Linked DNA regions of Schizosaccharomyces pombe. The gene in region 1 interacts genetically with each later gene. Each region holds a gene or a part of one and is shown on either strand. Other genes may lie near its edges.

Region 1 (16,474 bases):
CGCCAGTTGGAAGCTCGGAATAAGTGTTCCCTGTATGAGTCTTGCACTTTTTAGCATATTCTATTATGTCCTAAAGTTAGTTAGTATATTTCGTTAACATCAAATGGTACAAATAAAACATACTATCTTGGTTAGAACACCATGTAATTTCCCATGATTCAGAAGGGCTAAATTTGTAATGCCAGCATCTTTAAATAATTTAAGCATTAAAACTGGTGGAGTATCATAATTTAAGGTAAATGTGGTAGGGTGAATATAATCAAACAGGTCAAAAGTCGAATCAACAGGTGCTGAAGCACTTCGAAGCGGGTCTAGTCCAGTATTGTCAGTTGTTTGCATATTAGAACTCATTGGACGTCTATTCAGTAATTCAGAGACTTTATTTCTTGAAATGAACCCCTCAAAAAATTCAGTATCATTTTTTAAAACAACAAAGAAAGACTGTGAAGAATCATGCATGGCTCTCTCTAATTCCTCAATGGAACAACTTCTAATCGGCAGCCTCACCAGTTGTTCCGGAGAACGTACTGGAAAATTCAAGGGTATTGAAAATTTTAAAGAGTTGGAAGAAGGGAAGTAGGGTATGTTTCTAAACTGAATCCAAGCATCGTAAATGGATGTTTCAATAATGCTATCCGAGACCCATTTACTAATTAAAGTAGCTAGCATAAGAGGGAGAGCAATGTTTAAAGCTCCTGTTAGTTCAAAAAGAATTACTACCAATGCTACTACTAATCGGGTAGTTGAACTCAAAAATGCAATTGAACCAATCACCCCATAGATACTGGTACCTGCAAGCGATGGGAACCGGCTCTTCAAAAGAGTCCCAACAGCTCTTCCAATACATGCACCAATTGCCAACGACGGGACAATAATACCAGTAGGGATAGCTGCCCCAAATGTAGCTGAAGTCAAAAGAAGTCCCAATAATGCTGATGTAAAAAGAACTATTGCAGTTACCCAAAAGGTAGTCTCGCATAACACAGTTGACGAAGAAGGAGAACAGGAGTTGATAACTTGGGGGAACAGCTCCATTGGATTAAACAACAGCTCGCTTTCACCTAGAATGGCATAAGCCGTCAAGGATGTTATCAAAGATAAAAAAATAACAAAAAAAACGTTAGAAATCTTTGAAAAGCCTTTGGTCTTTGAAGCAAACTTCATGTTAAGGTAAATTAAAACAGATCCTAAGCATCCACATAAAATGCTAATGAATATAAAGGGAAGTGTATCTTTATAACTCCAACGTCTATCCAAAGAAACATAAGAAAGATATCCAACATCTGTGTGCCAAGACCTAATCAACTGTAGAGCTACCACAGAAGACGCAGAGCACAAAAACTCGTACCAAATGGAGCCAGTAAATAAGCTTGGAAAAGAACTAGAAGCTAGTTGTTCTAAAGCAAAAATAACACCACCAACAGGAGCATTAAAAGAAGCAGCAATACCGGAGGCCATAGCAGCAGCAAGCAATTGTCTAGTAAAAATTTCAGAATCAGCAAGACTTGGAGCTATTCTTTCAACTAAATATATTATATTTGTCGCTATATGAACAAATGGCCCTTCTTTTCCAACCCATAAACCAGATGCAACACTGAAACAAACAGCTAAAGATTTGGAACAAAGGGTTTTTATAGAAAAAAAAACGTTCATATCAGGGTATTTATAGCCACTCAAAATTGCTTTAATTGTCGGAATGCCACTAGCTCTAGCAGCAGGAGCTACTACATAACCTAAAGTAGTTGCTATGAATGCAAACCCGACTGAAACACTAACGTATATCAAACAAGAAACAAAAACGGAATGATTGTTTCTCCAAAAAAAAAATTCCTGACATTCATAGTCCTCCGTTAGGGTTGAACAACAAGTCTGTTTGTCAAAAAGTATATTCACAGTACAATACCCTTCACGAAAACTGTTAAGTAATGATGCGAGAGCATTTAATAAAGCAGCTGTTAAGCCGATAAATATACCTTCCAAAAATGTCAGAAATCAGATAAAGAGAATACAGTAAATCAACAGTCAAATAAAATATCACGTACACTACCAACATGCAGATGCATTTAAATGGTTGGATTACGTACCTGAAATAATGGAAATAATTGAATATTTGGTTTCTAAACCTAGAAACCTGAAACGGCCTGCAAGACGATTAGCACTTTTCTGCTCTTCATATCTCTCGTGAATCCAATCAATGAGTTGGTCATCCTTCATTTTAAGATTTTGTACCAGTCAATAGTTGTCGTTAGTTAACAAATATATAAATTCACCTAATAGCTTAAAGGAATAAACGTAAGAGTTCTGCTTGTAACTGACGCATTTAATGCTTGTTAGAGAGGTTAAGGATTCCGGGCAAGTAACTAAATAGTCTTCCGCAGTTTACTCAACATGGAAGTAATTTAGTTTTATCCTTAATATGGGGATTTAAAAAACAAAAAAATGACTAGCACAAAACGTTAAGCGGCAAAAGGTAGGCAGTGAGTAGGTAGGGACTGTTGTGTCGTAGCGAGATGAAAGAATTGTGTGTATTGAAAGCTGCATTCCAATAAGCAAATACAATCAGTAACTTAAAATAATATGATCATAAATGATTAGTGACTATATTTATTACTATCTTTATTGTACATTAAACCCTTATAAAGGAAGTTTCTTATTAATATCTAGTGTTAATCCATACGTAAGATTATTGATATAAATCAGTTGTTGCATATACCTAATTAAACATAAACACTTTTTTTAATACTGTTCAAATAACTTTTTCGTGCATCCAGTTCCTCGCTGGTTGAATCTGTGCGAGACAATGCAATCCATTTTGGATTTTCATGAAACAAGCGCATTGCGTGTATATAGTCATCAGTGGTCGTAGTAAAACGATGATAAATTCCAGGAGGAAGTATTATTAAGTCGCCTTTCTCAACAAAAATTCGAACCCATCTATCATCGACAGAACGGACATCAAAGTAACCATTACCATCGAGAATTAATCGAATTTCCTCATCTTCGTGCAAATGTTCTTCAAAGAACTTCTTTACCATATTGTCATAACGATCTCCAAGTCCTTTTCTACTAACAACAACTTCATCCCGATTTTTAAATCCATATTCTTTCATAAGGCCATCGGCGAAGGTATGTAGATCTCCATCATGATGTCTATAGGACACTTTAGCAGCTTCTAAATCTTCAGCTGAAACTTCAATCTTTGAGTCATTCGGCTTTCTTTGATCGCCTTCGTCTTGGAAAATGTATGCTCTCATTGATGTTATTTTTATGTTGAGTCACGAGCAAATTAAAGAAAATTAAGACTTTTTTAAATTATTGAACGAAAAACTTTAGACTAAACAGAAGAGGTGTCAATTGGAAAGCAGGCAAAACACTACTCGAGTGAGAGTAAAGGTGAAAATAAAAAAAAAAAAAAAAATTCTTCTGTGCATGTAATGTAATACAGTATCTATTGCATTATGCCAAACAAATATTATTGGGGCAGTGTGACAATAGAATATTACATTAAAGAGTTTTAAACTTATGCAATAAGTGCGCAATTTTGTTCATCGATATTCCAACATCGTGAATTTTCTGCTAATTTAGAAGTTTCTGTTTTCTTCTTTTTTGTAACAGTAACCTTTGAGAAAAGCAATAATACAAAATCCCCTTATAACTTTTTAATGTATTAAGCAAGTTTCACGCTAATCAACCAGACCGCCTATTATCATTCCAAAGGACAAGGTTGTTTATTTTAGTCAAGTTTGTCTATTTATTAGCAGTAACACGTTTAGGTGAACATAGATGCTGTGCGCAGCACGAAAGTGTTTGAACAAAACATTTATTTCAGTAAGACTAAATGCATTTTCTTGTCTGGCAGAACTAAATTTTCGGCATACATGGTATTGCTCTAAAAAAGAAACACCTTATCAACTAGAAAGACTCCAAGAAGAAGATATTGAGGAAACATTTATATGTGGAAAGGGCCCTGGTGGACAAAAAATAAATAAAACTAGCATAGTGGCCCAAGTCAAACATATTCCGACGGGAATTATCGTTCGATCTCAAGACACACGTTCACGTGAACAAAATCGTTGTATTGCAAGGAAACGGTTAACGGAGAAAGTAGATGAATTCAAACACGGGAACGATAGTCTTTTAGCAAGAAAAGTTCAACGTATTGTCAAGAAGAAAAAACAGCGAGAGAAAAAAAGTAAAAGGAAGTATGGAAATAAGATTGATGACCAGGATTCCAGCCTGAATAATAATGAAGCGAAACAAGACGTGATCTAATTTGCGTTGCTTCGGTACTCACATGGCATTAACTAGGAGTGAGATTTATCATTCATTATGAGCATATTCGTACATTTTTTTTAATAATTCTTTGGTAGATAGCATGCTTAGAGTCTTATAATGAGTAGCTAAAGATCTGTCTCAAAATCACCTGATATCAATTAAACTGATCATACCTTAGCAATTCCAATTTCAATATGATTAAGCGTAAAACTATTTTTTTTTGTTGAATATATAGTGTCAAGCACCACGAATCCTCCTGGCTAATTGCATGTCTCGTTGCATAATCGTCACTCGTTTAGCATGAATAGCACATAAATTCGTATCTTCAAATAGATGAACCAAGAACGCTTCAGCCGCTTCCTGAAGACATTGCAGTGCCGTAGATTGCCAGCGCAAACCAACATCCGTTGAAAAATTGGCTACAAATTCTGAAGATATCTCTCGTACAATTCTTGAAAACGGGAGCCTTTGTATTAATAAGTCTGTAGACCTTTGATATTTTCGAATCTCTCTTAACGCCGTAGTACCTGGACGATATCTCTTTTTACGTGGCCGTGGAATAGGATCTCCAGGCTCAGCCATTAAAGATTTCTTTGCCATATTAAGTTGTTCCTATCAATTTCTTTTGGGAATAAAGGTTTTTAAACAGTAATTGTTGGAACAAATGCAAGAGCTCGATACAATGAGTTTTGGTTTTGACAGGGGTTTGACGCGTCGCGACTAGCATAGACTCTAAATTATTTAGCTCACTATTTAAAAATGTAAACAATCAAACAGAAGTTCTTTGTCAGAAAATACTAAAGCTACTGTTTTACAAGAAAATCATTAAAATACATGAAAATATTAGGCTCTTGTTCGTTCCACATCATCAGCTAAAAAGAACAAGTATTAATAATAGCTTACGAATATATGATTTCTCACTATTTATAGGTAAGAGAAATTAATCATATAAACCCAAGCGAAACTCAAGACCGATTTTTTTTTAATTGAATAAACATATGTGCTCTCTTTATATCTCGGTTATAATTGATCCAAAAGCCTTAAAAATTTATCGTACTCTTTTACAAAGAATTACATAACGCAGTTTACCGTGGAAAAACAAATTAAAAATTTGACCTATGGTAAAATCAGACTGCAACAAGCATTAACTATTTATTAATTAATTTAATGAAGGATTTTTATAAGAAACATAATTAAATTGTTAAGTTAAAAATAATTTTTTTGACTTTTGCATTCCATTATAAAAACGGAAAGTTGTTTGTTCTCTGTTTTGCAATTCCTTTAATAGCTCAAGTGTTTTAAACATAAACGGTCGAGATGAGTACAAAGTCAAAGGACCAACATGCAAGGGTATCATATTTATACCAGGCTTCGCAATTACTTTTTAGAAACGTTCAAGAACCTACATTGTCGAGACACTATATCTCTACAGCCAAGGATGTTTCACAAAAATCAGTAATGCGAATACACCCAGATATAAAGCGCACCATATGTAAAGGATGTAACTCTTTATTGGTACCAGGAAAGTCATGTTCAATAAGATTTGAGGAACCATCACGGAAAAATCCATCTATCGATCGTGTATTGTGGATATGCAAAAAATGTGCGTTTAAAAAAAGGTTTTCGGACAAAAGTTGTTAAAACATGTTTAGCATTACTTTTGGAATGAAAGATTATTTGTATTCTATAAAGCCGGAGCAACTTTTGTTTGGTATTTTGGTTCTTTAATTTCGCGAGATTGCGATTCAAGTAAAGAAAGATTCCCCATTTCCCGCTTACTCCTTTTTCTTTTGAAATTTTAAAGGGTTTTTGTTGTACATAGACCAAGCAGGAAGACACACCTATTTTTAAATGAATGTTAATATTACATGACTAGAAGCAAAAAAACTAGCTTACAAGAGCCACCAACGATGCTAAAATTAAAAACAATTTAATCACACAATAAGAATCTTGAACTAAATACCCATAAATGTACGAAATAACCTATAGATATATTAGTAAATAAATGAGATTTTATCCCTGACATACAGCACTTGTACATAGACCATAGTTCATATACTTTTGACACCTTAATTGTCCTGCAAAATCGATCGTACCTTCAAGATAGTTCATGGTATGCTTGCTCTTTCTCAAAACAGTAAAGTTGCTTTTTGTATTATGTGGTTACAACGAATGAATCTCGTTATCGTTCGGTTTACCATAATAACGTGTTGTAATCCAATAGCACGTTGTACATTGATGAATATGAAACAAAAAACAAGCAAAAAAAGAGGCATGAAAATATATAGGCAAATCGGTTGCTCCTTCATTTTCAATAGATGTAAATCAACACCTCAATGTCAAATTCGATTTGAAAATGAAAAAGCGGCTCATTGATGACCTATTAACATTATATAGAAATGATCTTTACAATTAACAGGTTAAGGTACTTCAGCGTTCATAAACGATTAATAATTAATAAAGATTCACCAACAAGGGCTTAATTTAAATGTATGTGACTTAAATCGTATATTAATTGCTTAGGTGGTTTTTTTTTTCATTTGGTGAAATTATCTTTTATTAGATGTGCGATTATCATAAATTTTGCTAGTACTTCATTGCTAAAAGAGGTCAAGTCTCCACTAACGGTATAAAACAAGCATTACACGTATACCTTAAGCAATTTGGGTCGTGCCAAAAGCAATTAGTAATGTGTAGCTGTTAAAGTTATTAGGTTCCATAAAATTAAGAGCTTATTGCTTCAAAGATTTGTCCTTTCCGATTTTAAAAGTTGAGGTCTTCTTAGGGATAATTGCTTCGGCTAATTTATAATAATTTCTAATAGATCACCTTCAGTATTGATAAATTGCCTACTTGAAAAGTCAATGTGCAAAGCGTTTCAGAAAGTAATCATCGATGTCAGCAAAGGTCGTTTTAAAGGATTTCTTATCTCAAGCGCCAATTGATAAGTTAAAAGCTACTTTAAGTGGTCATTTGCCTGTTAGTTGCATAACAATGGATGCTAAAATAACATCATTACAGCCTGGTTACCATTTTCTTTTTTTCTCTTTAGCATCTCCTGAATCAAATTTGAATTCAGATGGATATGAAAGTCTTTATTCCCCAAAGCCAAATAATCCTTTTTCTTTTAAGCGCCGAATATGGTTACATGGAGTCCTTCGTTTTCATAGACCTTTACATCTTTTCCAAACTTCGGAATGTCATGAATTGATTCAGGAAGAATCTGTGAAATCTCCATCAATTACAAAAGAAGTTGAAGCTTGTCTTCCAAAAAGTTCTTTTCTAACAAAGCCTACTTCAGAAAAACAGACAAAGCATGTATATATTCGAAGAAAAATTTACGACAGTCAGCATCAATTATGTATCGAGGAAGATAGAACATTAGCCTATTTAAATCGACAAGAACTGGCTATACCAAAAACTTTACGTAGCAAAAGTATTCCACAACACTCTTGGGTATTCACACCTACACCTATTATGGTGTTTCGCTATTCAGCATTAATGTTTAATGCTCATATGATCCATTGGAATGCGACATACGCTACAAAGTCCGAAAATTATCCAAATCTCGTTCTTCCAGGTCCTCTTCTAGTGACTAGTATGTTAGAGTACTTTCGTTCTGTTTATCCCCAAATGTCAAAGAACATGAAAAGATTTGAGTTTCGATTATTATCTCCCGCGTTTGTCAATCAACCACTACGCATATGTATCTCAGAGACAGGTAACCTATGGATTGATCGATTTACTACAGACCTTGATCCACCGTCTTTGATTGCTAGAGGCCGCGTCTATACCTAACATAACTGAAAAACAATAATAATTAATACCGGCAGAAAAAATATTTCTAAATTACAAATACTACTTACTAATATTAAAATTTAAGTATGTAAAACTAAATCAAATTACATGATAGGTATTCAATTTAAGGTGAAAACACACAAAATTTTTTATTAACATTTAACAGTAACTTGGTAAGAAAAAAAAAACAATATTAACCAATCCCAATAAAAATGAAAACAAAATATAAAAACACTTATGACCGTCCAAAATAAAAAAGGAAACCGTTAGACGGAGAAGGGGTTTGAAATTACACATGAAGCTTGAGGATACGATGAAATGAAGAGGCAAAATTAAGATGATAAATGTACATGAAAGGAGACAAAGGAAAAAGCACTTTCAAAAGGGCTGTGAAATAATAACGGTACCAATTTTTTTCTTGAAAATAATTAGCAAAATGCAACTTTTTTTAAAATTCATAAACAAGGAATCAATGAAGAAGCGTAAGAGGTGAAAAATGACAATAGATAATGCAATAACCTTTTTTTAATATTTGTGGCAGAAGAGACTCCTTTCAATTTATCTACCGTGTTTCACACGGAGATGCCTAACCAAGGCATCATGTCTACTGAAATGGCGTTGATCGCCACAAATCTCACATCGAAATACAGGTCGTGTCTTAGCATGTATCGTATCCTGGTGACGGATCAAATCATACGTCCTAGAAAACACTGTGTTACAAATTTCTCCTGTAACTCTGTTCTGAAGAGTACACCGAACTGGACCAATTTGTTTACCAAATTTAAACTTCCTACGCTTCCTCTGAGCACCCGTAGCAGTAGTAGAAGAATTTGTAGGAGTGGTGTCAACAGGAGCAGATCCGTTGGGGCCATCAGCAGCAGCACCGGTGATGCTTACTTTTTGGTTGGTTGGATTAGGTACCACGGAATGAGAAGACCTAGTATTGTAATACGACTTAACGTCATTTAGGTCATGAGTAGCAGCCGATTGAGAGTGAGGAGCGTTGGAACTGTCTAACTCTGAAGTCGGTAATAAGTTAGGTATATTAGCAGAGGTTTTAACAGGAGAAGTGAGTGGAGGAGAGGAGCTGATCGTAGTATTTGAAGGTACGACAACAGGAGGCTGTGAAGGAGAAAGTGAATGTGGATTTACCGACGTACCAAGCACCAAGGAGGGGCGATGCTTGGCATTGTATGATCGCGTTATCGGAGGAGACAAAGAAGGGATGCGTTGTTTAATAGATTCTTTATTGAAGCTGTCCTGCCGAACATCGGAGTGCATGTTATCATTGACCATAGATACATCCTTCCCATCATATATCTGAGCGGAGTTTTCTTGAGGAAGAAGAGAGTCAGCAGCAGCTCCCAGAGCATGAGAACGGCGTAACGCAGTGCTCGTCGCCGAGTCCTTCATAGGATGCGCCCGCACTTCCGGATTTTGTTCCATACGGGATTGAAGTCCCGTTGGAGATACAAGGGAGGAATCCTTGTTGTCGGTATAAAGGTTCTTAGAGGAATCAAAATTTTGGGTCTTGAGAGGATTGTTAAGGGTAGAGGGATTTGCTTGGTGTTGAGGTGAGACATCTTTTGAGACTCTGTCTGACTTTTGATTGTGACCCAGTGACCTTTTTAAGTCACTTCCATTCTCCAAATAATCGGTTGAAAAAGGACCACTAGGAAGAGAGGCGTCCTTTACAAGTTGTTCGGAGACAGAGTCACTTGCATCCATGGATATCGAGGGCAACGGTTCCATATCCAAAGGTGGAGAATTCATGGGAAATGGATTACCGTTGATGTCGGAAATCGCGCCAGTGCCATCAGCAATCACCTGACTAGGTAAATCGAAAGAGTTGGAGAAGGGCTGGTCATTAATGGTGGAAGCAGATGGAGTAAGAGGAGGAGGGACGGACATGCTTGCAGATGCGTTACTCCCAGCATTTCCACTGGGGGAACTGTTAGCAGTAATAATGTGATTCGTTTGAGCCGAGGTAGGTTCGTTCGACCCGTTGACAGGAGGTGTGGTGATAAATTGATGATTGCTGCCAAGGGACGAAGGGACACTTGGAAAGTTAGCAGCGTTACCATAGTCAGATGCTAAGGGATCAAATGGCATGTCCATCGAGGAATCGGGAATAGTGTCGAGGGAGAAGGGGTCCATTGTGTCAGCATCGTTGTAGACACGAATGGGAACGTTCATCATATAGTCCCAGGAGGACATATCAGATAAATCTGAGTTATTTTCTTCTAACGTAGTAGGGTTAAAACGCTTTAAATTGAGTTCGGGCATCGAGATTTGCTCGAATTCAGCATCCGAGAATGCATTCGGAAATACATTAGTCACAGAGCGACCATTCATTTTGGATTTACGATTTTGTTGCAATTGGGATCCATTAAATTGCCAATCTGGAGTGGGAAAGTTATCGTTCCCATTACTAGAAATTGATCTTGCATATGTGTTGTTTGTAGTGTCCATACTACCCAGCAAAGATGCGCGAGGCAATGTATATATAAAGAATGACGTCAAGCGTCTGATTGAAAAAACCACCCTTGTCAAACAACATTGGTTAGCAATTGACGTCGTTTTACATTGATTGAGCCAATCAGAGGCCGCCAATGAAGTAGCATGGAAATGTCAGAATGCGCTGGCAGTGCTGCTGATTCGTTCTTTTCAAATAAAAGCGCGTAATGTGTAAGCGAACCCCAATTACATTCCTTCAATCTGCGACTTGCGCTCTACGCTGTCCTCTCATATGGAAAGCGAGCTTCCAGTACTTAAATCACCTTATATATCGCGGTTAGTCATAACGCACTAATGAAGGAATACGCTGCAAGCTTCATTCCAAAAGCAATCATAGAATGAGGTCAAAATGAAGAGGCGGAGTCGGGGAAAGATGAGATTGAAGGATGAATCAAGTCCACGATACTTTTAGGTCATATCACGACGTTGATTTGCATCTTACTCTAGTTACTCGTACTTTAGAGATGCGATGGAATTGAGGATGTTTGGTACAACAAATGTCTTGTTTTTCGTTTGCGCCGTGTCACGCTACTCCTAAGATAGCAGCTAAATGAAAAGTCTAAAAACGCTAAAAAAATTTCCTCCCTACATGTTCAAGTCAATCAAGTGCTTCATGTTCCCGATCACCATATCGGCATCGCAATGCAGACCTCGATTGCTTACTTAAACTCGGTAATCTCGTCTTCCGTTACCCTACATGATCACGGAATTCATCAAGTCGTTTTTACTTTTTTTTTTCCTTCCCTTCTTTCTTTCGATGCCGATGATCTTCGCTACTCTGGGGGAGTTTACCGACGATCAAACTCATCATTATTCCACGCTTCCGTCGTGTGACCTTCTCCTTATTCGTGGAGAAGTTAAAGAAAATGCCAGATGCTTCTTGCATAACCCAAAAATTAGTCATCAGCATCATTCTTTCTGGTCCTTAATAGAAGGATGTTTGGAGGCGCTGCAATTTGGCTTACTAGCAATTCTTCAGGGATTATTTTCTCAGTTTGCATGGGAAGCCTGCTCTTGTACCTTTGCATGCATGCTTCTTACTAGCGAACGTACTGAACCGTCTTATCCGTTTTCCGAGATTACAGAGGTCAGTCGTGGTGGGTTGCACTTCGTTAAGTTGAATTAAGTATGCTTAACTCAGGTGAAGTCAATTTGTCGATGTCGATGAGATTGGCTAGTACACGAAGGGGATGCGGAGCTGCTAAGCAGAGGAGTGATTTAACTATGAAACCAATTCGTAGGATAAAGTATACTTTACCGATCGATATGGATGATGCAGATGTAGGAATCAATTATTCTACTTTCTTGTGAAAAGCATAACCCATGTGTATTATTTTCAAACAAGTCAAACAGATGGATAGCCAACACGCATATGACTGCTTACTCAAGTACAAATGACTTTTAGAGCATACCAATTTCAACAGACTTTTATCACTAGTGCAACTATCTTTTTATCAGTTGTAGTCTTTCAAACATCAATAATCACTGGCATTCACACACGGCAATACCAATCATTATGTTATTACGAGAACAACTCGTGAACAAATGGATTCCAGTGTGTTCTAGCATACACATAAATGTCTCGTCTTTCTACTTTATTATTTAGTCGATGAGTGGAACAATTAATAAACTTACCATTCAATATTGCACTGACAAACGTATACTTTTTTATATTTCTCTTTCTTTTCGTAGGCTTTACGTACTTACTCTTCCTTATTTTCCTCTGCAACGAAAAAGAGGATTGGATTATGGGCTTCGTCAAACGTTACAATTACAGAGTAACCTTGTAATAAGATGAAGTAAAATATAAAGTAAACGACGTGTAGTGATAAAAAATCTGTATTTTTGTCAAAGTGAACTTAATTGTTCAACGCGTTCTGATGTCATATGCCCAAAAATAATTCACCTACCCAAGGTAATTGAAAAATTTGTCAATACAAAACGAATGCTTTATAAACACAAAAGAAAACATGTCAGATTAGAGAAAGAGTCGTACGCTCTCATTGCTGAAAGCTTTTTATCCTTAACACTTTACTGGAATTTGTTAGTCCCGTTGACTATGTGGTTGTTAGATACAGATTAGGTAAATTCATTTATTGTGGTATTAAGCAAGGAGCGGAAGAAAGTACGTACTTTTTTACATTGTTAAAAGTTTTATTTGACGAAATTACAACACTTAATAAGTATCTAAGTATGCGATCGAGCTGATTCAATTTGATATCTCTCAATTAGAAAGTTGCGTATTACCTCACAACTACGATGTACCGTACAATTCACAATCTTCCTGGCTATGCAACTGTTTGCTATCAACTAGTCGCTTAGATAACCTTCTTTAACCCCATTCACTAGACACACTTTCCCCATACCCAGAAAGATGACACGAAGAACAGTGTAACGCATCAACTAGGTTAATTTGCTTAAGGTCGCACAAACAATTACCTAAAGAAAAACTTGCGCGTTTACTATATTTGTACTACTTATAAATATCACGATACGATTCGGGTTTAATGAACATTATATTAATCATTTCATTCAATAAATGTATTAATCACAAATCCACGAAGAAAAATTCATCTTCTTGTCAGATGGAGTATTCAGCCGTGATACAACGCGATATGAAAAATTTCTCACAAAGACCAAACGCCTTTTTGTCTATGAATTGCACTAGCAAATTGATAATGCTTCTTCTGATATCGCCCAGATGAAAAACATTCTCGTTTGGCATGTATATATAGAATAGTTATAGTGTACACATAAAATTGATAGACTCGAAACAAAAAATTCGGAGTCGGCAATTGATATCGAATTTAACCACCGAAACCATAAATGGTACGGCCTTGACGCTTCAAAGAGTAGACAACATCCAAAGATGTAACAGTCTTACGCTTGGCATGCTCAGTATAGGTGACAGCATCACGAATAACATTTTCCAAGAAGAGCTTGAGGACAGCACGAGTCTCTTCGTAAACTAAAGCGGAAATACGCTTAACACCACCACGACGAGCAAGACGACGAATGGCAGGCTTAGTAATACCTTGAATATTGTCACGAAGGATCTTACGGTGACGCTTGGCACCACCCTTTCCTAAACCTTTTCCACCTTTACCACGGCCAGACATATTGCACTATTAATATTAACGAAATAGAGTTACTACTATAAACAGTGCTTCTATTGCTAGTAGGGTATGCGGCATTTCACAATATATATTAATGCGCCGTCCCTATTAACTTACGTCAATTTAATTAAAGGGTTAGGGTTGTGATCAAAGTTGGATGTAGGGACATATTTATACAGCGTAATCTCCCTATAATTTGTTTTTATCTACACAGGGCAATTATCAGAACACTAGAAAATAATGGCTCGTACTAAGCAAACTGCACGTAAATCAACTGGTGGTAAGGCTCCTCGTAAGCAACTTGCCTCTAAGGCTGCCCGTAAGGCTGCTCCCGCTACTGGTGGTGTTAAGAAGCCTCATCGTTATCGTCCCGGTACAGTCGCTCTTCGTGAAATTCGTCGTTATCAAAAGTCTACTGAACTTTTGATTCGTAAGCTACCTTTCCAACGCTTGGTCCGTGAAATCGCCCAAGATTTCAAGACTGACTTGCGTTTCCAGTCTTCTGCCATTGGTGCTCTCCAAGAAGCTGTTGAGGCCTATCTTGTCTCTCTATTTGAAGACACTAACTTGTGTGCTATTCACGGAAAGCGTGTAACTATTCAACCCAAGGATATGCAATTGGCTCGTCGTCTTCGCGGTGAACGCTCATAAGCAACTTTACCAAATTGTGGTTGCCATCTGATGGTGTGATTTGGAATCTTTTGGTCGTCTATCCCATTGTAATCCTTCCCTCATTTACTTTGCCTTTCGAAACAAAATTTAACCTTGAGTGTTGTGGAATGTAACAAACGATATGCAAGTCTAATTTTTTGTTTCCGTGAGCTGCACTATCTATTTATATTTTTGTTTTCTTTTTTCGAGTTATACCGCGGACGTTTTTATTTTCGAAATGTATAGAAATTTTTAATTCTCTCTTTACGTCCTGCGCAATTGTGTAAATGAAACGCTGAGGAACTTCATCTGTATTCTTATATGCTATTTAATAGTAAATTAATTTTTAATATCATTATTGAAACACGATAAACTAAGGGTTGACCGTATTTGATTTTTTGTAGTATTTTTAAAAACTCGTATCGATAATTAATTAATTACTCGAAGCTGAACGCAGATTCATTAAATTCGGGGACATCGTCCGGTGTTGGCCGGATATCTTGTCCCATAAGAGTTTTTCCAAGTTTGGGGGAGTCGTGAGTTTTTTCCACTGCAGACTGCTTGTCAGTTACCATATAATCCTCAGTTTCAAGATGAGCAGTTGCAGGATTTTTTTGGAATTTCCAATTACGCAAAAGCCCAAGTGCTATTAGGTCACATCCTAATTGGCAATACACATTAGCATTATGCAAAACAAATCGATATTCAAGACTTTCATCAATTTGCACGTTGCTGGATCTTAAACATTCATATAACAAAATGAAGGCAGGATCATCAGACGGAAACTTATTTCGTACGGGTTCGTTAGTACTATTTCGTTGTGAATCTTTATTTTCGTGAATTTCTTGGTCGTTTTTATCGGATGTATAAAGTTGTATAAAGTCATTATCGCTGACCAGCGAGCGAATGGGAGATACCAAACTTTGCAAGGCCTTTTTTTCCTGTTTTAAAATAGTGAAACTCCAATTGGTGAGCCATCTATCGTTTTGAGATACAGCCAAAGGAAGTACATACTCGTTTATTAGCCTCTTTAAGGTCGGACCATCGTCGCCTTCATAGACTCGAGTCATTGCGATGGCTAATGAAATGCTTTTTAAATTACGGATACATACTTTTGCGGCATCATAGCAACTATCTGCCAAAAGAAAAAATGCAGAAGCATAAAAATATCTGTGCTTGCTTAAAAGTGCAAAAGCATTCTTGGATGCAACCACTTTCCACTTCTTTTTTGAAAAGTCATTCGAAAGCAACTTAACCGTTCGAGCTGATTCCTTATGCCAACTAGCAAGACGCCAAAGATCACGAAATACATTTATTTTGTGTAGAGCAATGTGATATAAACTAACATTCTCTGGGTTCCTATCGTCAATCTCAGCGTAATGATTGCGAGACAGCTCTAAAAATACATCTTTCAGTAGCTGCTCATTTAGCCAAAACGGTATCGCATATTCTTCAACAGCATTCCATAACAATGGTTTTCCATGAAGCTTTTTAGTGTGGTCCAACAGAACAGCTTTGTTAGAGCTATGAAAAGCCCACGCCATCTCTCGGGTGGGCAAGCTTGTTAATTGACGTTGATGTTTTGATAAAACGTACTGGTTTAGCATAATGCAATATCTTTTTCCGTTGAGGTCCAATGAATCTCGCAATGCTCTTGCCTTATTGAATGCCTCGATTAAATTAAGAAGTAAAAACTGAGATGATCGAGTGAGGGTTTTGACTTTCTTTACTTTTAATAATGCAGTCAACTTCTTTATCATTTCATCAATGTATAATCCTAAATGCTTTGAGACACTGGTCTCTTCAAAATCCAATTCCGCAGGATTTAGAATTTCCGCAGAATTTTGGCTGAGACTTTTTATTAAAAGGTCTTTAGAAATTTCTTCGTCACAGCAGTAAAACTCACTGCAGTCCATATTTAAGAGAAAATGCATATCTACATCATCTTTCAAACACAAGTAAAACCTTAGCAAAATATTAGTAAATAGAAAGGGTTGGTTTCTAAGTAAAAGCTGCTGCAACAATTGAGGATGAAAAACTGGTAAAATTCCATTAAGCTGGTATGCAAGATCAAAAATATTTTTTGCGGAACGTTTCAATGATGCAGGGAACAGTAA
Region 2 (16,946 bases), 2.9 Mb from region 1:
CCTTTTTGTCTTAAACCAGCTGCAATAGCTCCAATTTGCGTTTGCATACCGGTTGCGTAACAAATTCCCTTGGCACGACCTTTAGTCACAATGGAAGAGGAATATGCAAGGTTGATACGATCACCAATGGGAACATCTTCGTTCATTTGAAAAGTAGCGTGTGCATCTTTTATCACTGGAAGCGACTCACCAGTCAACAATGCTTCATCTGTCTCAAAGTTTACCGTTTCCACCAACCGAAGATCAGCGGGTACAACATCACCAGTTTTTAGCACGACTACATCCCCAGGAACTAAAAGGTGGGAGTCAATAGCATCAGTCTTACTCGAGCGTGTGACATGCGCCATAGGAGAAGCCAATGTTCGCAATGAGTCCATAGTTTTCTCGGCTTTATATTCTTGGATAAAGCCAACGGTGATATTAAGAACAATAATTGCAGAAATGACACCACCTTCAATCCAATCAGTGGTACCAAAAGACAAAGCGGCGGCCAGGATCAAGACAACACACATTGCGTTCAATACCTGGCGCAACAAGACTTTCCAGGCTGAGACACCAGAGTCGGCTTCCAGTCTATTTTCTCCATATTCGGAAAGACGATTTTGAGCCTCTTCATGGGTAAGTCCATTGGGGATAGACGTAAGGAATTCTGATTCAACATCTTTAATGTCAGAGAAATAAACGGGATTCGAGATATTAATGGTTACCATTGAACAATATTTGAGATTGAATCAAGGAAGTAAGAATATATCGGGATGAGTAGAAGGGGAGAAATATAAGTAAAATCAAAAAAGCAACTGGTTTTGTTTTCCAAAAGAAATGTAGGAAGGAAAAGGTTTATGTCTGAATATAAAAGTAAAAAAGCGGTAGTGAGGAGAAGGAGGAAATAGGAATAGTTAGAGGAATACTTTTTGTTTTAAAAATAAATTGCTCAAAGATGTATATAAACAATTAATGGAACGATGCTTGACCTAAAAATAGCAGAGAAGATTGGAAGCGAAATTAGTAAATAAATCGTGTAGATGATGTAAACAAGGTCACACACAAATATTCTCACACGCACGCTCAGTAAACAGAAATTATAGAGGCGTAGGGAGTGTAATGAAATAATAATTAGAATGCGAAAAGGTAAAGAAAGAAAGAAAATACCAAATTGTGCTGTGGGTTTTCAAAAACCAAACGCAAAGTCAAGGATCAACAAGGGACAGCAGATCAGATCAGATCAAATGAGATCCTTTTGGGGAATTAACGTATTATTTTAAAATTAAACTCGAGCTCACTTAATTGCGTACTACGCAAATCCAAATACAGAGATCTAGCAAAACACAAAAAGTGGAAAGGCAAATAAACAAATAAACACAGGACGGAAAAAGAAAAGACCGCAAGAAGGTGTATTAACGAAAAGGGGAATTTTGAAGAGGGAAAAAAAGAGTTAAACTAAAATGGAGGGGATCGAGAGAATTTGAAAAATGAGTGATAATTAAAGTATAATCAGGGGAGCTTAATTTACTTAACACGGTAAACCGAAGCTCGTAATGTTATCTTCGTCAAGGGGCTATCAGATCTTTAGCTCAGATCAGGTAGCAGGTAGTAAATGTTCAAAAAAAAAGGACGAGTTACTACTTTTTAGTTAAAGAATATTTTATATAGAGAAAAGTGAGAGGAATAGCAGCAGTATATATACGGCTTGGAAGAAAAACGATATCAGAGTGTCGGATTGCAATGACTCCGACATTGATTTCCTCAACATACATTGGCTAGAGATACAATAAGCAGCAAAGCTTGCCTGGGGAATTTAACTATAAAATTACGTAAATCATAGTAGCTGACATTATCAAGCGGAGTAACAAATGACGAATGGCGGAGTGTTGTTATTCAAGGGAAGCGAAGATGAGAGGACGATTTAGCATTTAAGATTATTCGGTTAAAGAAGAAGAAGTGTGGATTTCCATGACAGAGGAGAAGAATACTCAGAGTGAAAAAAAAATGTCAAAAAAACCGAGAAATTTTGAGAGAAACTAACCAAGGAATGAAATCCAAGAGGCAACCTGAACGTTGAAACGTTTGCCAAGATTGAGGCTTAGTCATTTGCAGTGTTAATTGTTTACGTATACTTTTGCAATTTTCATATGCCGATCCTCCTTACGCTAATAAGTATTACGAAGGTGGCTACATGTCGGTGTTTTATAGGTAACATAATTACGATAAGGGTAACATGTTATTTCTTTGAAAGTAATGTGTTACTTAATTGCTGAAATATGGGGAACCGACCGAAGATCGGAGTTTTGTGATGGAAGTAGAAAGGACCCATATTCCAGTCCTATCACGCCAAATTTGTTTGTTTTTTGTTCTTTTTGGAAATTTTAGGCTCTGAATTTCCTTTACGCTTATTAAAGTTCAAAATTAATATCGGTAACATTTGTTTAAATATTCTGCACACTCTGCGATAGTTTCCACTAATTGCGACATTAGATAAGATAAGATAAGGTATGTAAGATCTATCGAAACGCAAGAAACTTACTTAGCGTATCGCTATGTCGCATTAGACGGGTGAGTAAGTTAGAGAGTATGTGTAGATGAAATGAAAGAAGCGCCTTGCACAAAAAAACTATCTTTAGTTTACTAATTAGTTAGAGATTTTAATCGAAGTTTTGAATTCGTGCGAGATATCTTCGACATTTGATTAGATCGTTTTGCAAAACCATTCGTACGATATGCCCGGTAACATGGCCATCAGCTCGTTTCTCCGAAATGTCATTTTTTTTATTATTGAATTTTCCTGATGTAATGCAAGAAAAAGCCAATTTTCGCTCACATGCTGCTGTGCAAAATAATGAAGGAACAAAACAGCAACCTTTAATATGTTTTCGGACTTATCGCTTGTTGCAGCACTTGAAGATTGTTTTGAAAAAAGGTGTTCTCATCTAGCCTGTCTGTTAATTGTAAATAGAAAACTCTAAAAAGAAGACACTGCGAACTTTGCTTCGAGCATATGCGGGGAACTATATAAGAGAATATACCAAAAATCTTTTTAAGGATGTTTTGAGAATTTAACTGAAAGGAGCACATTTACAAAATTTGAGATACATACATTAGTAATACATTTAGTTTCAAAAAAAATGCTTTTGGCATGAGTTCTTACTGTGTTTTTTTTTTAAATCATTTGTGGGCTAAGTAAATAGATGTACCGGTTTCGAGCAGAAGCCGATTAAGCAATAACACCTTTTCCTAAATCCATTTGTACTTGATTGACTCCCATATGAGACTATATATTCGTTCATACTAGGAAAAGTGCAAGGTACGAATAATTTCAATGCGCAGTTACAACAGATGCACGGGTGGATTTGGCACGAATCAAAGAACTCTGGTTAAAAATTTAATTTTTAAAAAATCATTTCCATAGAATCCCCCTTCTTTAATTTCAATGAAATTAGCTATAAACATATATACTACAAATGGAATTATATAACGATATCCGCCGACAAGCGTAATGTGCGACTTCATCAATGGGTAGGCTATATAAAGAATGCAAATGCTTATTTAATTGAAATATTGGATATTATTACCTATTCTATATTTCGTATTGCTGCTAGTTAGAGGTCGGCAATTTTAACACTCAAACCCTTTATTCATTCACTCATTTCAGCTTGAATTAATAAGCAGCAAATTTCGCCAACTCACGCCTCTCAACTAAGCCTGTAGCTCTCTCTTTAGAAGACATCGGAGGTTCGCACATAACAAGCAGTCTAGTATTGAGATACAAAATTTTTTTTTTTATCTTACTGTACCGAAAATTTGAACAATTTAAACTTTGCGCACAAAAATTTCAATACCTTGTAATTCGTAATTTTCGTTCTAATTGATAAAACTGCGATATCGTTATAGTAATACTGATCTGCTACACACAACTTAAACTGCAAGACTATTATAAAACGACATCTTCTTAGGATCGTTCACTTCATGAGTAATCAAGGAAAGGATTCTTTTAAAGCCTATTCATATTTTTGCCCGTGTGGTCAACTTTTTTTAACCATACATGTCTCTCTTACTCGTCTTCCGCAACGGCAACTAGATAAACGCCATGTTGTGGACGAAAAATTAAATCATATAGCACATTTCTCCACAGGCAACAAATATTACATTACTAGGTAAGTTGTTTTAACTTATCGTTCCTTATATAAACACATAAGCACCTGGTTTGTTGTTGGTTGATCATACATGTGGAAATTTTTTATTTGTTTACTGATTTTCGGAACGAAAATTTAATTTTCTCCACACATTAATTCACTAACCATCACAACAGAAGCGACGGAGGTTACGAACAACGAATACAGCTTTTATGTCGCAGATGTACACTGGAATGTGCATACGCTTTAGAAGCGGCGCCCGGTTACATATATGTGGACCCTACCCTAGTTAATGAAAAACCAGTCACAGTGTCGGTTTCTAACTTGAAAGAATAACCAAAGGAATTCAACCACTTCCATCTCGAATAACTTCAAAATGGTAAGTAGTTATAAAGCATGGTTGGAGTTGCAAAGTCGAAGCTCTCGGTCTATTTGAACAAAATTTACTCTTTAGTTTTGTAGCTTACTAAAGCCATAAATTGACGTTTTTTCTATGCGGCAAATATAAACATTTACTTAAACGTAGGTTCTCTTCACATGGTCCATTTGAATACACATAAAATTTTTTTTCTTTCATTCATGCTTCTCTTTGCAATCCTAATCCTTACGTTTATCTACGAAATTGATTTTTTTTGTGCATAACTAACATTCCTCTAGGGTCGTGTACGTACCAAAACTACCAAGAGAGCTTCCCGTGTGGTAATTGAAAAATATTACCCTCGTCTCACTCTTGATTTCCAAACCAACAAGAGAATTGTTGACGAAGTCGCTATCATCGCCTCTAAGCGTCTTCGTAATAAAATTGCCGGTTACACGACTCACTTAATGAAACGTATTCAACGTGGTCCCGTTCGTGGTATCTCCTTCAAGCTTCAAGAAGAGGAGCGTGAACGCAAGGATCAATACGTTCCTGAAGTTTCTGAGCTTGAGGTCGATCGTGTTAACGTTGACCAAGACACCAAGGACATGCTTAAGTCTCTTGGCTACGATCAAATTCCCGTCCGTGTGCTTGCTCCTGCCCCTCAAGAGCGTTTCCGTCGCAGACAGTAAATGAAATTTCGGTCGTAATGGGTCCATTTATACTTTTCAGTGCATAATTTGCCATTACTTGGCTTCATCTTTGTTTTCCTTTGATGTAGTTATTAAAATACTATTCAATGCGAATTTTTTGTATTTAAATTTCATCGTATTGTAAGGCTATTTTTTTTTGCTTCCCTTATATTGCAGTGTTTTTTTTAAGTTATTTAGCTTCCACATTCTTTGAGTAGAGAGATATATAAGAAGCAGATCAACATGTTCTTCTAATATGTTGGAATTGAGTAATATAGCATATGTTGATAAATTTTTTAGTATCCGTGCAATAGTATTACATTTAATAATTAAATGAAATGTGTTACCTGCTTTCTCTAAGTTTTCAATGATTTTTTCTTTTTTTTGCATTTATTTTGTGTTTGTGCAATAAACATTTTCATTATATTTTTGTTTGTGCAATAAACATTTTCATTTCTAAAACGTATCAATTGTCCTTAAATGAATTTTTATCAACACAGCAACATGTCAAACAGTGGCAGATGAATGTCTAATTTCCAAGGAAATTCATCATGATTAAAATTATTATTAATGACCCTTTTTTTACCCAAAAACATCTTTACGACATCGTTTACATGCTCAACCTCTTGTACCTATTATATTCTGTTTTTAAAAAATAAAAGAGATATACGAGCATAAATAAAACAGAGCCAACTATCCCTTTTATTTATTTTTATTTTTTGCATGTTTTATTAAAATAAATAAGCTATTCCTTTTTAACATTTACAGCAATCGTACACAATCCCTTTATTTTTCCGAAACAATTTTTAAACGGAATTTAATTTTTGATGAACATCAATCCATATACTATAAACATGGTTTTAAAATTTTTACTTCAGGCAAATGAATAAAAAATGCACATACAAAAACAATACTTAAATGTATAAAAAAAATTTATTAGAAATAAACTTATTTTATGAAAGAAAATGGGATAAATAGAATTATTATTTGTACATACCAACAAGTCCCGTTTAGCTCAATCGGCTTAGAGCGTCCGGCTTTTAACCGGAAGGTTGCGAGTTCGAATCTCGCAGTGGGAGTTCATTTTTTAATTTTTATATTTCGTAAATACACACACCAAGCGCACAAAAGTTAACTAGCAAAACAATTAGAATATTTACTATACTTTTTTTTTTTTTATACTTAATGATTTAAACATTAATTTGTATCCTTGTTCAGTGTATTTAATTTTATATTTCTGTTAGGATGTCATTCATGTACTCTTATCGCCATTAGGAACAAACTAGTATTTGAGGCGCATTGGAGTTATATAAGAAATAGAAATAAACTCATTTGGTAAAGTAATGGATCTTTACACTTAATGCTCAGTAAATGTAAGTCACAATTCATAAAATAAATTAGAACCACTATCACAATTCTCTTTGAATACGACTATTACCATCCAACCGTCTATTTCAACTTCAAGCGGACTTTGAAGGGTTACAAGGCACTACAGCAAATGTAAACACAAAGCTTACGATTTCTACAAATTCAACTATATTCTAAGAGGCGAAAGAAGTATGAAAATGAGATACCAGATGAATTAGATAATAAGAACTGGAAGGAAGGAAAAAGTGTAAAACCTTATAGAAAGATTAAAAGGCCCTAGAATAATATATGGCTTAGTTTTCGACAGCAGCAGCACCACGCAAAAGACCTGTTCTGCGGGCGGCAATAAGACCGACCTTTTGACCAGGAGCAGATTGACGAGGAACAGTGGTAGAATGACCAACGTGTTGATGGTTACCACCACCATGAGGGTGATCAACAGGATTCATAGCGACACCACGAGTACGAGGCCAGCAGTTGCGTTTGACACGGTACTTGTGGAATGCACGTCCAGCCTTGAGTAAAGGCTTATCAATACGTCCACCACCAGCAACAATACCGACAACACCACGGGCAGAAGAAGGGACAACCTTCTTAGCACCAGAGGGCAACTTGACACGGGTCTTGCCAGTGTCAACATCATGACCGACAATGATAACATAGTTACCCGAAGAACGACCCAATGCACCACGGTCACCAGCCTTTTCCTCAACGTTTGAAATGATGGTACCCTCAGGCATTTCACCAACAGGCAGCACATTACCAACAGTCAAAGCAGCGTTCTTACCGCAGTAGACAAATTGGCCCGTGTACATACCCTCAGTTGCAACAAAGGTCTCAACATCGGTTCTGTAATGATAAGGGTTACGAAAGGCAACCTTAGCCAAAGGAGCGCCACGACCAGGATCATGAATGATCTTTTGGACGACACCACGAATATAACCATGGCGTTCAGCAAAGTCCAAAGTACGGAGCTGAGCAGCACCCTTACGAAGACGGGTATGAGCTTGGAAAATTCCACCACTCTTTCTTTGAGCTCTAATAACACGTCCCATGGTTGTTAGATGGCGATAGAAAACTTCCTAACGGACCTTCAACAGTATGTTTGGATGATAAACAGTGTACATGTGACTGCTTTAACGACCAGGGTAGGGTTACTGAAACATTCGAAAACAATATCCCTGTTGATTTATTGCAAACTCCAAATATATCGGAATAAAGAGGTGACAGAGCAATTGAAAATAATTGCAATATTTTGATATATTGTTGAGTTTATTCGTTTAAATGCAATTTTATGCTATCTATACTAAACTATAGTAATAGAAGGTTAAGAACTTAATTATTACGAGGAAAATCAGACTGAGGAACGAATTTACGTTTCTAAACAAATTTTACAAACTTGAGAAATTGCAACAATAACAGAGTATACAGAACGATATTGTAGTTACGAAAACATTTGAATCTTATGAATATGAATTAGTTAAGAAAATATATTTTTTTTTCAGCCGATATGAGCATGTACCATTCTGTTGAAGTTGAGAAGTTTTCTTGGTAAACTAACTTTGGAAAGAGAGTGAGTACACCGAAATTTTCTTTTTTTCTTTCAATAAAAAAACACAAATTTTCGCATCGTTTATGTTTGACCCATAAATCTTAAAAAAAAAATTGAGTTGGACAATTTTGTACTGATATGAAAATGCAACGTAATAGTAAATAAGTACATTTAAAAGGTAAGAATTTCGAAAAATAACATTTAAAGTAGACTTGTGAAACTATAGATTTTAAACTAACTATTTCCGTTTTCAGATGTTTTTGTACATACACCAATAGTTATCTACAGACAATCACTTAATTGCTGCTTGTACTTCCATTCGCTAACTCTCAGCTTAAGCATATAAAACCAAATTACTAACTCAACTCTTTTGTTCCGTATAATACTCATTTTCTGTGTTAGCCGTGGATTGTGTTTTCTCTCAAGATACAAATCTGTTTGACGGTGTTAAAATTGATTATTGTCTCCCTTTTTCGAAAATCTGGTCAACCGGTTGTGCTCAAATTTTACATTTTTGCTAAATTCAGTCTGTTTATTTCTCAAAAACTTATACAGCTACTTTTACCAGTTAAGTGTATATACAATAGCAATCAAAAACCTATGAAACCGGATACCGTATCTTTGACTAGAGCATTTTCTAAAGCCACATCAACTTCTTCTAAGGCAGCTCTCAGCTGGCTTAAAAAGTATAATTTTGATTATGATGTGGCCTACACGAAATGGATACAGCAAAAATCTAGAGAAGAGGCGGAAAAGCAATTAAACAATGTTTTCAGTCAATTTTCCTCTAAAGAGGATAAAGATTTGATAGAACTTGATGGCTCGGTGCAATTATTTACGGCGCTAGACATTTCACTCGAGGATCCTGAAACTCTACTTGTTTCTTATTTCCTAAAGTCCCCGCGAATGGGAGAATTCCATCGAGAAAGTTTTGTTGAAGGTGCTCTCAATCTCTCAACAACTAGCCTTGATCAATTAAAACTTGCCATAAAAGAAAAAGTGCAAGTTTGGAGGTCAGATGCATCCCTTCAAAAAGCCATTTATATTTACACATACCCGCTTGCATGTGATAAAGGAAAGAAGACTTTAAGCACTTCCATTGCCATTGAATTTTTCCAGATTCTTCTTAAAGATACTTTTCCTCTTCTGGATGATTGGATTGCTTTTTTAAAAGTTTCCCCTATTATCGAAAAATCTCTGCCAAAGGATACGTGGAATGAATTATGGGATTTTAGTGTATTTGTTAAATCAGATCCCAATTGCTCTAATTATGATTTTGAAGGTGCGTGGCCAACCCTCATAGACGAGTTCGTGTCTTACTATAGAGAACACGGTTATAAAAACAGCAGCTCCTAACAAATAACTGCTTTTCTGTAAGTTGATTTCAATGACATCAATGAAAAAATAATAAACTCTTACACCCCAATAATTCTCTACAGCAAACTGCTGCTAGTTTAACCCTAAAAACATTTTAGTAATGAGACACATATGTTTAATAATAAGAAAAATAATGAATATATTAATGAAACTATAAAAAGAACATGTACAACAGTCAATGGAAATAGCAAGTGCGAAAAAAAATATAATAACAAAAACGTTTATATACAAGGCAAGACAAAAATGCAAATAGATAATAAATCACAGATAAATAATAGATACTAGTTGTCATCATGATTTTCATCATGACTGCTGCCACTTTGAAAAATATCATCGTACTTTGGAGGTGGTGCTTGATACGGGACAGCGGTCCAGGAATCAAAGGATGGTGGAGAATTTCCGATAATGTCAGAATCAAGTGCGAGATCCCTGTTCATACCAGCAATGATTCTGTTGTCGATTGAGCAAAAATTTACCTCACTAGAGGGGATAATAGGACAATACGCAGGTAGCATAGTTGAACCATCAGAACATCTGCAAGATAAGAGTCGGACAGGAGAATCAATATAGATTTCCAAATATTTTGCAGAGCCCATTAATTCAGGAGAATTTTCGCAAGAAAAGCGAAGTACTGTACGCACAGTATGTGTTATTTTAATGTTTGGATACGTAGTATCGAAATGCACAATATTGGCAGCCATGTCATGACATCCAGGAATACGTACCTGATCAGACAGTTCGTAAACATCAGGTCTAACCTGCTTCCAATCGGAGAGCAAACATTGGTTCTTTGGAGCACTACGCTCATACAGAAGTAGTTGTCTGGTTTTCTCTTTTCGACGGACTGAACGTTGGCGACAATAATAATATCTTCGCTCCATTAAAAAAAGGCGAAGTTTATGAAACTTGACTTCACCCAAGAGGGTGAATTTAAAGTTGACAGGAACTACTTGACCCATTACAACACATTTCTCACCGACTTGAACCTCGTAGTGAAGCCTATCTTCCCAACTCTTTGAGACAAGTATAGGTTCTGAAGTCGCAACACTAGTACTACACGGGCTACGAATTAATTCAATGGGAATCCTGCCGGTGGACTTACCAGAGAAGGTGCTGCTTCTGTCCACCAATGTCTCTAAGAAATAATATACACGACCCATATCGGTCTGTATAGATTCTGGATATGTACAAGAGATAGGAAGCTCAAAATTATACACGTATTCTCCAGGGTAAAAGCATTCCATACTGCGGGGATAGTGTGCGGTATCTGCGTAATGAGGCAAAACTTTGTACCACACTGCACCATGTGAATTCTCATCCACTTTCTGTTCAGAATGAAAAAATACCCAGCAATGATTCATAATACTGTTCTCTTCATATGTGTCAAAGAGTTTTGGAGGAATGCCTTCAGGCCATTCTGTTCTCGATTTTCCTTTAAAGCTCAGTTGTATCTTTTTCAATTTCACAGGCTTATAAATTTGAATGCACAAAGATCCACGCAAAACAGCTGAATGTTCACTTTGAATTTCACTTGAAGTCGCTCCAGGTAAATAGAGCACAGGTTCAGCAAGCGCAATAGCTACTCTGGCATTAGAGTTAGAAGAAAGCAGAAGCCATTCACGAGCTCGATATGATAGACCTTCACATTTACTAATTTTCTCTTCCTGGTATATATGTTGCGAGGGATCAGGCTGTGTGGTTCTATCAGTCAAGCGAATTACAGGGTTGTAGCCATTGGAAGAAGGTCCGTAAGGAAACACCTTGTCGTGATAATTTCTCAGATTGGGAATATACATCAAACGAGATACACACTATGATAGTACTTCGCAACTATGTATCTCAGAACAAGCACCTTGCAAGGCGTACTTCAGAGGCCTAAAAATCGAGATGAACAAATGAATTAAAGATAAAAAATGCACAGCTTAAATGACAGCGTATTGTTTTTAAAATACACTAACTAATTGAAATATCGTCGCTCAAAGAAGTAAGAATATGGAACAAGCGGCTCTGTAACCAAAAGAAATTGGTATATTTCCAAAATATGTATAAAAACCGTAAAATGAAATTTCAGATAGCAATTCAAAAAAAGATTGTGATAAGGGGCTTTTCAGAAATTGCCAGCACGGTAACGCTAGTAGATGTGCTGCATACATTTTATAACCATATAATGATGATATTTATCAAAAATCATTATATCGTCTTATATCAAGTTCTGTTCTACTTTGGAGATGTGTTATTAAATAGATTTTATAATTTAGATCATTACATTTTGACATAAACATTTTATGTATGAAAGAATTGAGTGGATGCAATATAACTTGAGGAAAATTCCAGTTTATAAAATGTTCTTATCGACTTTGAAAGACATCAGAAACCTAAATAAAAAACTCATGGCTTTAGTAGTTGAAGTATATTGACCTCAGCAGAATTAAAATATTAAATGCCATGCTTCCCAATATTGCATTCGTGCTACGAAATTGAATATGGATGATTACTCGGAAATGGAAATTTGATGTATCTTGAATTCATTAATCTTGGAATGTAAAATATAAGATGAAATCATCAAACATAAACTCGAAGAGTATATCGTTTTCAGTAAGGAAGGCCACTTCCAATTTTCTTTTCTTTTTTTTTAAAACTTAGCCTCAGCCCGTACTGCTAATAATTTATATCACATCCCTCCAATTGAACCATCATTATCTTCTTCTTAGCTTCACGAGTTCGGCTTTCTATTTCACCAAAAAACTTTCTTGCTTTTTGACAAATTCGTAAGTCATTCTCAGCGACAGATATAGTCTCGCGCTGCTTATCCCATTGTTGGTGAAACATTCTTCGTAAATCATTCAACGGAATATTGAGAACTTTACGACTCTCTGTACCTATCCAAATACTAGCATTGTGACAAAAATCTGTCTCCCTTAAAGATTTTTTTATCTTTTCCGCAACTTTAAGAGGAAGTGCTCTAGGTATATCGTAAATAACATACCCAAAAACGCAAATACTTGCTAAACCAAGTACCGGGACCAATAAGTGTTGAAGCGAGTTATTTTGAAAATATTTAAATATTGGATAACCAAGATTTCCAGTAAATGCACCAAGCGTTGTAAATGAAGGGGTTGTTTTTCCAAGGACCAAGAGAATAGTACTCAATGAAGCGCTCCAGGTTCCTAATCTCTCAGTAAGGTCTAGATCTATAAAATCAAGCAAGCCAAGTTCAAATCGAAAATGCTTCTGCAGTTGCAATCTATGTTTCTTAATAAACATTTGGTTGGCATGAAAGACTGGAAGGACGGCGGAGTCAAAATTATCTTTTACATCTTTTTGAATACATAAGACAGCTTCTTCGGTCCTCTTTCGAGCATAATCTTCTGACTCCAACAATTTTTCTTCTAAATATTGTTGCATGGCGTCTCTTACGGATATCGCATACTGGTAGGCAAAGAAAAAACCAGAATACTTGACAGAAGCAAAAGAACCTAATGAGTCAATAGCATCTTCTAATTCGGAATGTGTATGCTGAGAAATAGATTGCACAGTCGCTTCAACTAAAGATTCATTCTTCTGATAGGTAAATTGCTGCTCATGTTTTACCTTACGAAATTTTGGAGAAAGATCCGTCAAACGTTGTTGCAAGTGATTAATATCAAAATCGATAAGTTTTATGTTATATTCGCAGATATTAAGTATATCACCGACTAACCCTGACAAGTATCTACGTACCGGGGCAAGTTTAGATTTTGAGCGATTTTCGAGAATGAAGCTACGGAGAGAGTTTTCCATCTGAAAAAAAGAAGAATATAGAGCATCCTCTCGATTATTTGGATCACGAGCGACACGACAGCTCACAAAATGTACCAAGTCTTTAGCGTCAGCAAAAGTACCAGGAGAAAGGGTATGAATTTGTTCAAGGATCAATCGTTTACATCTCTCTTTATCTCTGATGTTATCAAATTTGTTCACAATAATGAAAATGTGGGATTTCTCAGTGGAGGCGTTTCTTAAGAAATCTGTAGCAGAAAGGGTAAAATGATTTTCAGCGTTTACAACGAAAACGACAACGTCAATTTCCTCTTGGCAAGCAAATACTGAAGTTGTCTTCATGGAATCAGTATTCAAGCCAGGAGCATCAATAAGTGCAATATCTGTAATTCCATTGTGAAGCAAACTCTCATGTGCCGGTCTTCCATCATTGACATATACAATTAGCATGCTCCAATTTTCCGTCTCATAAACAAGGCGTTTCAAATCCTCGATTGGAAAAACTTTATATGTTGAAGAGTCAGTATGACTATACGTGAGTCCATGAGGAATAGCGTGAACACAATCTTTTCCATCATTGAGTTCAGCATCGTGCACTTCACAAAATACCTCAGTACAAGGTTGTTGATCTTCTGGTAGAATGTCTTTGTGTACCAAAGCATTGCAAAGGGTCGATTTACCTGCGTTTAAATCCCCGGTGATAAGGATTTTCGAAGAGGTATCTTCTACTCTAGAAAAAAGTGAAAAGAGATGCTTATTTGCTTTCTCTATGTGTACTTTTAGTAGAGATTCATGAGCTTCCTCGCCCAATTGACTGATTAATTTTTCATCAGCAGTCGACGACGACCGCAGTGATAGATCAATGGTGATCACATTCATTTTGGACGGACTAAATGGATAGTAATTTCCTGAAAATTTAGATTTTTCTTTATCGGTTCTCCAAACACTGTGGAACAAACAGTCAGATCGATCTACATAATTATCCAGTTCATTTAACAGATTTTGAATAATATGGATGGATCTTAACAATTGGTTCCTATTTTGGTTATACTCGAACTGATGACGATTAGTTTCATCTTTATACTGCTGAATATTGTTTGAAGTATATCCATTATTTAATCTTCCCGATTCACCATTCTGTTCGGCTACTGATAATTGCCTTGCACTCTTCTCCATATCATTTAAAGTTGAATTTTGCGTTTATATAATTGAACTTGATCCCTAAAGATTGGAAATTTCATGCAAAGAGCAACTTCCTTAAAAATTAATACATATGCGTTGCAACCATATACTGTTTGCATAACACCTTAGTACGAATAATGAAAAAAAATGGGAGCAACATATTAGTAGATGAATATGAGAAAATAAAGACATCATCTTTCTACATATAAAGCTTTAAAAAAGAAATTTCTATTATATCCTTGAGCACAACAATTCAAAAATTTACATTTGTATCATCATAAATAAGACGTAGGAACGAAATTTCAAGTATACCGTATACTGTTGACATCGACGACGTTTGATATCTGTTTTAGCGATACATAAATCATATAGCGTTGTGCGTTATGTTAACTGACAATATTATATTTATTGTTATAAGACGCCTAACAGTATCAGTCACCGATTTAGCTAATAATTGAACTGAGGAATGAGATGCAGCGACTAATTCCATTTATAATCTTCTAAGTCTTTGTTCTTAACTGATGTCTATATTAAAAAACATGATTTTACAAATATGAAATTAGTGACACGCAACGTAGCGAACCAATTTTAACAGTATGCTGTATAAGGAAAACTAAGTTGGGGTGAATAAAAAGGGCAGTGACAAAATAAATGTGTCAGAAGTAATTCACTGCCTCGTTCAGTTTTTTCGTTCTTCTTTTTTTATGCCATTGTTTGAAGGAATTAGTTGGAAATTTGTTTGAACGATTTTATTATTTTGTTAAAAAGTCTTTAAAGCGATTGGAATTGGACTACAAAGTGAATATTCTTGATTTCGCTGTTTGGTTTGTCGCAATCATAGCAATTAATTCGCGCATGTATTTTATTAAATAAAGAATGATTTTATTATTATGAAGAATAATTACACTTCTTTGAAAAGTCCTCTAGATGAAGAAGATGAATTGAAGACAGATCATGAAATCGATTTGGAAAAAGGACCCCTCCCAGAATATGATTCAGAGGAGGAAAGTACATTGCCTCCATATTCAGGTAAGAATTGTAAATAATAAGAAAGGAATTACTCAATTGAAAGTTGAAACTTGCCAGTGCTGTAAAATAACTTGGATGTGATCATTGTTTACAGTTGGCATATCCAACACTTGATCAGAAAGATGGGTAAATTTAATATGATATCTTTTTAATTGTGTATGCTAATTATCATTAGGTTATGAGGCCAAACAGCAAGTGAATGAATACACAGCTGTTCCATTGCGTGAGATGAACCCCGAAAGTGAAGCCTAATTATATTGTTAACTTTACTAATTGTATGATAAAGTCGCTTTTTACACGAGGCTTCTTTTCTTCATAAGAATGTGCAATAAAGAAGCGCCTTTATGATTGTGATTTACTCAAACAAATCATAAATCTGTTTAAAGTATGTCACATGTATTTTTATTGCATATTTCATTTCCTGACGAATTGGATGAGCAAGTGCATTGCTTGAAAGGTTCCGTGAATAACATACACTGGGCATTGAATATTATAATAATGGTTTTATTTATTCGTTTTAAAATAGCAGTTCACTAATTGACTGTTATCATCAACTAATGAAATCGAAAAACTCGTTGTTTCGCCTTGTTAAATTCACAATTTCATTGTCGTTTATTGCATTCATTTCTTCTTCATCTTGATTCTTAATGAATCAAACTTAATTATCATTTTTTTCCTTTGGTTTAGTGGTTTACTTTAATACAAACAAAATTAATGTTTACAAAATAATGAACAGCATAATAAAATATTGTGATTTAGAACGATGATTTGTTATCGTAATAATGTAGTTATTGTCTAATGTGAGAATCCACTGTAACGATTAACAGATTTCCTCTAATTTTTTAAGCTACTTATTACTTTCTGTTGCAAGTAAAAAATCATGAATTTTAAGGCTCAGTGTATAAGGGTTTGCATATAATTCAGTTCTCGTTTTGTGCTGCATATTTAATTTTTTGAGTAGTCAAAAAAATTAGCACAAGTTGTAAACTTCACATTGTCCACTCGTGGTGGCGTGTTAAAAAATTACTTGATGTTTTAAACTAATACTTCTTATTTCGCATTCATAAAAAACAATGTTGAGAATAATCATGTATGGTGGTTGTACAAATGAAAACGGGTCAATTCAAAATGCATTTCATATCCGTCTCATTCTAAATTTTTCGTTATTTAGTCGCTTCGAATTATTGACTTTGTTTACTGTACGAACTGTTTTCTTTATTTAGCGCATATTGAAGATATTTGCATACTTTTTAGGAACTTTGTTTCTTCCTACAAACTCAATTCGTTACAGAAATAACATTGCTTTGTCTTTCCAATTAATAACAAGTCGTAAATTTGTAAAGGAATAAAAATTTTATTGTTCATTCTTACTTTTCCATGTTCCTTTACATATCTTCGTGCAATTACTAAAAGAATATTAAAAGTCAAATTTGAAAATTTCGCCCTTCAATTATGATGATGGTGAGAAATTGGTAGTCAAGATGCTAATTATCATCTAATTT

What was found.
Region 2: of rsv2 (region 1) and fzo1, changing one suppresses a phenotype caused by changing the other (phenotypic suppression), as found in Schizosaccharomyces pombe (one study listed by BioGRID).

Annotation. Positions count from the first base shown.
Region 1 is NC_003423.3:3,527,002-3,543,475, reverse strand, and holds rsv2 (DNA-binding transcription factor Rsv2), read right to left. Parts: upstream 10,549-16,474; 5' UTR 10,546-10,548; coding exon 8,632-10,545; 3' UTR 8,188-8,631; downstream 1-8,187. Other genes in the region: SPOM_SPBC887.02 (ClC chloride channel), read right to left, coding at 1-70, 124-1,973, 2,085-2,214; adi1 (acireductone dioxygenase family protein), read right to left, coding at 2,718-3,254; pth3 (peptide release factor), read left to right, coding at 3,784-4,272; cnp1 (centromere-specific histone H3 CENP-A), read right to left, coding at 4,513-4,875; RNase P subunit Rpr2, read left to right, coding at 5,593-5,916; signal peptidase complex subunit Spc1, read right to left, coding at 6,051-6,116, 6,172-6,258, 6,304-6,387; 3-hydroxyacyl-ACP dehydratase Htd2, read left to right, coding at 7,171-8,073; SPOM_SPBC1105.13C (uncharacterized protein), read left to right, coding at 11,288-11,716; hhf3 (histone H4 h4.3), read right to left, coding at 13,398-13,709; hht3 (histone H3 h3.3), read left to right, coding at 13,947-14,357; and 1 more.
Region 2 is NC_003423.3:591,935-608,880, reverse strand, and holds fzo1 (dynamin-like GTPase fzo1), read right to left. Parts: upstream 14,516-16,946; 5' UTR 14,410-14,515; coding exon 12,133-14,409; 3' UTR 11,695-12,132; downstream 1-11,694. Other genes in the region: P-type calcium transport ATPase Cta3, read right to left, coding at 1-710; protein new20, read left to right, coding at 3,961-4,148, 4,304-4,463; rps1701 (40S ribosomal protein eS17), read left to right, coding at 4,504-4,506, 4,785-5,177; protein new14, read right to left, coding at 5,325-5,567; rpl803 (60S ribosomal protein uL2), read right to left, coding at 6,839-7,600; neddylation protein Dcn1, read left to right, coding at 8,698-9,453; aly1 (arrestin-related trafficking adapter), read right to left, coding at 9,756-11,270.